Bombyx mori: one gene and its partner. Each later gene encodes a partner of the first gene's protein in a complex. Links are inferred from orthologs where the notes say so. Each region holds a gene or a part of one and is shown on either strand. Other genes may lie near its edges.

Evidence for each region.
Region 2: mediator of RNA polymerase II transcription subunit 16 (region 1) and mediator of RNA polymerase II transcription subunit 20 share a complex: the UniProt entries of both Drosophila melanogaster proteins name them as parts of the mediator complex. The link is inferred for Bombyx mori from reciprocal best matches to the Drosophila melanogaster genes MED16 and MED20.

What each region holds. Positions count from the first base shown.
Region 1 is NC_085108.1:235,718-239,477, reverse strand, and holds the start of mediator of RNA polymerase II transcription subunit 16, read right to left. Parts: upstream 2,768-3,760; 5' UTR 2,612-2,767; coding exon 2,550-2,611; intron 2,112-2,549; coding exon 1,934-2,111; intron 1,196-1,933; coding exon 1,063-1,195; intron 534-1,062; coding exon 404-533; intron 1-403. Other genes in the region: neogenin, read left to right, coding at 3,206-3,290. UniProt on the Drosophila melanogaster protein: Component of the Mediator complex, a coactivator involved in the regulated transcription of nearly all RNA polymerase II-dependent genes.
Region 2 is NC_085134.1:1,812,951-1,816,710, reverse strand, and holds the start of mediator of RNA polymerase II transcription subunit 20, read left to right. Parts: upstream 1-1,270; 5' UTR 1,271-1,306; coding exon 1,307-1,440; intron 1,441-3,760. UniProt on the Drosophila melanogaster protein: Component of the Mediator complex, a coactivator involved in the regulated transcription of nearly all RNA polymerase II-dependent genes.

The sequences.
Region 1 (3,760 bases):
ACCATAATGTTTTTTATGCTAACCAAATTTGTTCTAAAATAAACCATTATTTGTGAACTATTTCACGCGGACGATGTCGCGGTCAAAAGCTAGTCTTGGATAATTGGATAAATCTAATAAGAAGCAAAACAGAAAAAATGGGCTAAATTAGAAACTGATTGGTTAAAAGAACTACCGTTCTAAAGGTGGGTAGACAACATAAAGGCCATTGCAGGTTCTACGTGGAAGAAGAAATGTCACGATCACGACAAATTACATTAATAGTATGTACCTAAATATGCATTAAGATTGTTAATAAAGGTTTCTTTATCTTTATAATTAGATTAATTGTCAGAAACAATAAGTAGCTCTGCAGTCTGTTTTGCACCTACTGAGAGATTGCACAAGCTCCCGATACACTCACCCGAATCCCTTGAGAGTAGGAGAGAACCGAAGCATTTGTATTTTTTCAGGGATAACCGCATCTGATTTTTTATCCACGGCCACCACACGACGTCCATTGTGGAAAAAGGCCCCTTGGATTATGTGTTCTCCTGAAATATTTTGTCATTTATTGACAAAAATGAAAAATAAAAAACAAGAAAACATCTTTATTGATATGGCCTTGAAAAGAATCTTTATTACATGTTTATAACTTATTAAGATCTATTCAAAGAAATATTTTTAAAAGCCACCACTCATCATGAGACATGGGACCAGAGTCATGTTGCAGTGACAGCTATCCCAAACATCAATTGGAGCCACATTATGTCTCATGATAGAACAGACAGGGCGATGGTACCAGAATATGAAAATGTTGACTATCTAAGCGTTTAAATAAGGGCTGAATTAAGTTTGCACTTAGAGAGCCATCTGATCTTATATGTTCTTAGGTACCACAAACAACCCCTATGCATAAATCAATTAAAAAAGTTGACTCAAAATTACATTAAAGATTTTAAAATAGCAATGCATTTAGTGTACGACAACATCAGAGAAGTGGCAGTAGTCGTAATGCTTTAAGATAAACAATTTTACTAAAATAACTAGTTTTGTACTTAGGTAGTTAAATTTTTATCTTACCAGGGAAGTTAGCACTGTAAAGACATGTCCAATCATTGAGGAGGAAGTCTTTCTGTCCATAGACAGACACATCACCCACTGTAGTGGCTACTAACAACTGTTTGCCTTCCAGGTCCCACTCTAGAGCTGACACCTGGAATTTGTATCCATTATTTTATTAGAACATAGTTGCATAAAGAAACAAAGTTGTAAGAGTATTTCCATACAAACTTTTAGATAGCTTAATGTATTTTTCCGAACCTATAGACCGTATAAAATAGTATGGTCATCATTTGAGTATAAAATTTGACAGCAAACTTCAAAATTTTGGCAGCACAGGGTTTGAGAATCACTGCTATAAACTAGTTTTTAGATCATTTTGTTAAATAATTGAAATTGTTGATGTGGATATCAATTATAAGTAAGAAGCATATATCATCACAAATACTAAGTTATGAAGAAGTTACAAATATGAGTAAATCATATCTGTAAATCATGAGTAAATCATATCATAACCACAGTGAAATCAATTACTGTAGATCCTAAAATATTGATAATATGAACAGATTGACATTTGATAGCATTAATGTAGATGTGTGTAAGGTTTAAAGAGTCTCACTGAATATTTCTCCAACATAATGATGGTAGGCAATGACGATCATCTGACACTGTTTATCATCTCCCGTAATTGTTTAACTCTTGGTGAGTGAGCTGGTCTGTTCACTTATGCGAACAAAACCTGGCCACATAGGGTTCTAGTCTACTATTTGATATGGAAACTCATTAATAGTGTTAATACATAAAGAGCTCATTTGGTTGTAAAATTATACCACTTTTGAATAACTGATCTGTATCACATAGTTTCATTATACTTTTACTATTTCACACTTACAGGATAAGCTGTACTTGTAACTTTGTGACTGTTCCATGGGGTATCTAAGTCACATACATACACATGACCTCCCCATGTTGCTCCGTCCACATCACTAAGCTCTGTCGGTGATGAGAATGCTATGATATTTGCACATGATATTGTACATATTGGTCGGACTACTTCAGAGTCTTTTACACTAGAAATAGACAACATTATTAAGCATTGAGTTTATGTAACACCAAGAAACAGAAATAATGTTTTACAAACAGAACACAGAACGCATGGGACTATTTTAAAATACTTGAATTTTATGTAGATGTGATAAGTTCTAAAGTCAGCTCTTTTTATAATATACATCCATGAGCTGAGCAGTCTCCTATTACTTTTCTCCTTAATTTGTTATTTTTATCCTTTTAGTGTTTTCTTATGATGGAAGGCATCATGAACAACGGTAACTTAAAAAATAAGTTGATGTTACTGCCGTTAAAGATATCTTAATTTGTAAACTCTTGTTGCGAGGAGATGGTCACGACCCTCAGTATTGAGGAAACCGAAGCAAGAAGAAGAAGAATTTGTAAACTTTAGTAAATTTGGATAGAAATATAAACTTTTGATATAAATTTAAACTATTTACTTTTCGAAGTGCGGAGGTTCACATTTAAGTGGCTTGCGTCTCATAGAGTATATTAGCTCCATTACAAACTACCGCGGACTGCGGTTAGCGATTTGTGAACGAAATGTTTAATGTTTATTAAAATACGCATGTAAAGCAGGTTGGAAATTTGAAGTTAATAAGATTGCAAAAACTTTATTTGTTGATACCTATCACGTCAGTTTTTAAAATGTGTCAAAATGACAATAACGTTTTATTATTGCTTGGATCTGAATTTATATATTTATTTGTGGAAGTACCAATTGTATGTAACGAATGATAAAAGGATTATACGTATTTTTGGTTGGCACGGATTATATTTATTTTTTAAATGTTTTGTCTCCTAGCGATTTCGAATTTCATATTGTATGTCAGAATTTCCATTGCCAATTCCATTTCTCGTTTGACAGAAATCAACGAAGTGTACTAACTTCAGGGCGCTCCGTTTCGTCCCGGGCAATGCCCTTTCAATATCGAATTGTTTCCGAACGTAAGTGGACATGAAAATGGCGGATCGCGTAGTATCGCTCCGAATTCGTTATCTGTGAACTTTAACATAAATATTTTTGATTTTATGTGAAAATGTGATAGTTATGAATTAAAACCTCTAGTGCAGTGGTCTTCTATTGGTTTGAACCATGTTTCGGACAGGGATCGTAGCTTACGGCGTGAGAAACTGGATATTCTTGTGGCTGTCGCTACATTTGTTTACATACGTTCAAGGTAGGCTCCTTTCATGTAAAATACGGCATTTATTATCGATCCATTGTCTTCAAGTAACTGTGAGCTTGCCTGCACATGCCAAGTTAAAATATTCGAGAACTTTGGCATAAGTCATTTAAAATAAGGAAATTATTTACATTTGGATTTAGTTTCTGAAGCGTTTTATTTACTATCTTGCAAATCTACCTAATTTAAGTTTAGTAAGTATTTATGTCTCTCTGACGCTTTTAGAGCGGTTGTTAATAAAATTTATGAGGATGTGTACGGCTTGGGCGCGGTATATATTTTATTACTTTTGGACTAAAGTTATGAACTTTTAATAGAAAATATGTCTTCTTCAATAATACTTTCTGTTTTACGGTCAAAAGTGAAGTTTTGTTATTTTTAATTATTCTGTTTTTTTCTCTGGATAATTTTATTCGATCCTTTGGATTTTTCTGATTTAACTTTATAATTTTGTACTAGTATTA
Region 2 (3,760 bases), on another chromosome or scaffold:
CTCTCTTTAGTTTTAATGCTGTATTATTATTTTTTATTTCTAATCCTTGGGGTATTTTGATAAATACATCAGACTTCAATTTTCCATTTAGGAATGCAGTGGGAATGTCTAGTTGAATAATCTTTAAATCATCTTGTACAGCTTTTGATAAGATCATTCTTATGGTAGAATGTCTAGCAACGGGTGCATAAACGCTGTCAAAAATATCTTTTTTCTTTTGTTGGAAGCCTCTAGCTACCAGTCTTGCCTTTTTTGTTCCATCTTCTTTTAGTTTAAATATCCATTTTGTATCAATGAGCTTTCTTCCATCGGTTATTTCTTGTTCTTCCCACGTTTCTAGTCTTTGGAGTGCATCTAGTTCTTTATTGATTGCGTTTTTCCATTCTGGTTCTTTTATAGCTTCTTCGAAAGTTTCTGGTGCATTTGCACTCAGACATATAACAATATTAGTTTCATTTATGTTTTCTATATTCGTCTCGTAATCTTTAAGATAAGCAGGAGGATTTATCGTTCTTTTGGGTCTGATTATTGCTTCTTCAATTTGATCAGTGTTCATTTCTGCATCTTTAAATTCATCTTCCTGTTCTACAATATCTTGCTTTTCTTTATTGATTTCTTCTTCTTTGTCTTGAATATATCTAACTTGTTTCACTTCTTCTTTGTTTTTGAATTTAATGTCGCTTTCATCAAATCTTACATCTCTGGAAATAACTATTTTATCTTCTTCTGGATCCCATAATCTGTAACCAACAGTTCCATAACCTACCATTCTTGTTTCTTTTGCTCTCTTGGCAAACTTGTCCGGTTTGGGTACTATAGTAGCCCAAGCTTTGGAACCAAATACTCTCAATCTCGATATGTCGTTTTTACCAAAAAATATTCCGCTGGGTGTCTTGAAGCTTATGGCCCATGATGGCGATCTGTTTAATTGGTAAACTGCACATTGTATTGCTTCGCACCACAGATGTTTTGGCAAATTGGTTTCCGCTAATAGAGTCCTCGTTTTGTCGCATAATGTGCGGTTCATTCGTTCTGATATGCCATTAAGTTGTGGCGTGTACGGTAATGTGTATTCTAAACTAATACCTCTATTTATGCAAAAAAGTTTCAAACTGTTAGCAGTGTACTCTCCACCATTATCGCATCTAATTCTTTTAACTTTATTCCCCGTTTCGTTTTCAATTCTTAATACATAGTTCATCAGTCGTTCTGTTGCTTCAGATTTGCTCTTCAGGGGATACACTACGCAAAAATGAGAGAAATCGTCAATAATTTTCATAAAATATTTTTCACCATTAGGTCCTTGATGTCTGATCGGTCCTGCTATGTCTGTGTGAAGCATCTCGGCTGTCATTTTTGTTCTAGGCTTTGGGATAGGCGTGAACGGGCTTCGGGTGGCTTTGCCCTCCATACAAGGACTGCAAATTCTATTAGATACAGGTAAGTTTAGTATATTAAGGCTTTTCCTATTTAAGTGACCTAAACGTTTGTGCCATAGATCTGTCGCATCAGTAATATTACAGACTTCGGACTTACATAATTCGGCTTGTAGCTTATACAACTTTCCTTGCACGATGCCGCGTAAAAATGTCTTTTTATTAAATATTTTAACATTGTATTTATTAAAGTTTATGTTAAAACCTGCCTCGACAATCTTTTTTACTGATAATAAATTGTATGAAACATCTTTCACAATTAGAGCATCAATATTAATCGTAGTATTTTGATATTTTACTTTAAGTTTACCTCTTTTACTAGTTGTAATACATTGGCCGTTAGCTACGAATATTTTGACATGTTTATCTAAATACGTAATATCCGTCATATAATTTTCATATTTTTCATTTATTAAATGCTCCGTACATCCTGAGTCTATAATTAGTTCTATGTTACCACATTCACCCACATTAGCAATAATATCGCTAGCAATGAAACCTATTTCTTTATTTTCTGTGCCTGCTGCTGAAGCATGTTGATACGTTGTATGTCGTGAACTTGAATTTCCTCTAAATGAGCGTCCACACGATCTTGGATAGCTCCGTCCTCGTGTCAATGACTGTCCTCTACTCGGCGCTTGTCCTCGTCCTGATCGGCATTCGAATGATTTGTGTCCACGTTTTCCGCAGGAGTGGCACGTGATGAAGGCATTATTCTCATAACCTTCACTATTTCTGTCCATTTTTAACTTTGTCTCCATATCGAGTAGTCTTGCTTTAACAAATTCTATGTTCAGTTGTTTCTCGGAACCCATAGTCTCAATTGATGTAATTAATTGATCGTATATCTTTGGTAAAGAAGACAGCAGATAGCAAATTTGGTCTTCTACTTCGACGCTTACGTTGATTGCCGCTAATTCGCTAAGAATTCCTTCAAATTTTAGGAAAAATTGCTGTAAGTTGCTTTCATCATCATAGCACATTGTTATGAGTTTCCGTTTTAAATAAAATTTATTACAGACTGTTTTTCGTTCAAATATGGCCTCCAATGACGTTAGCATTTCTTTTGTCGTATTCGCATTTTTTACGATGTAAATATATTTGTCGCTCAGACATTGTACCAAAATTGATTTTGCTCGTGAGTCATCCTGATCCGTCGGTTTCTCTTTTAAGAATACATTGCTTAATTACTTTTCTTCCAGCAGTAATTTCAATCTAAATTTCCAATGACTAAAATTTGAATTTTCAGTCAAAATCGGCAGAAGAGACCTCGCAGTTGTCATCTTTCTTTTTTATAATTTTCGCCGATATTATTTCTAGTGGATCGCAACCCAATATATTTTTATTTACTTACTGCACACGCGGTCTGCTACCATGTTAAGATTTTATATGAAAGAATAAGCAGACTCTTTTTATTATCATCAGTTATATTTTATTCACACGACACAATCTTATTAAGTAGAGAATGTATCCATGGTAGCGAGTCAACATTACTAGTGCGGCGACACGCAGCTAGTGCTATATCTCAACATGTAAGATAAGGACTCAGTCGATACTGTTAGTAGTTTCTCGGGTTCTTTTAAAATTATCTTTGAATTCTCACCAAATTCTAACTATTTTAACTAGAGATTCTTTTATTTCATCTCATCCAAAAACTATGGTGTTGTCTGTTATCATTGCCTTTAATCTTGTCCCATTAGGTACTAATATTATAAAGAGGAAAGATTTGTTTGTTTGTTTGTTTCGAATAGACTCCGAAACTACTGGACCAATTTGAAAAATTCTTTTTCCATTAGAAGCCGACATTGTCCCTGATGAACATAGGCTAATTTTTTTTAATTTTTTTTATTTTATTTTTTTGGTTTCATGTGTGTTTTAATGTTTCCGAAGCGAAGCGAGGGCGGGTCGCTAGTTAGGTATAATTTCTAATAGATAATGTAGATTTTCCCACCGTCTAGTATCCGAACTTCTTAAAAACAGTCTGTCAAGTGTATTGGGATCCAAGCGGTTCCGCTCATCACTTGCGTTATTGCAGGCAATTGAAGCGCTCTCACAAGGTAAAGATGATGCCTCAATACTCATATACATCATGGCTCTGTTAGCACATCCCACTTCTCCTGGATGAGCCTTTGCTCGCCCACATGTCCTGGTGAAACTGGAAAGGCCTCTGGCCCACCAGTGATCCCTCATTCATAAAAGAAAAACATGGCTATTGAGTGGACGTAGTGTTAGATGGTTTTTTTTCTTCTTTTCTTGCCAGTGAAGTATGTGGTCATACTTCAGGTACACAACTGCCTGCAAATAAATAGTGTTCAATTTCTTCG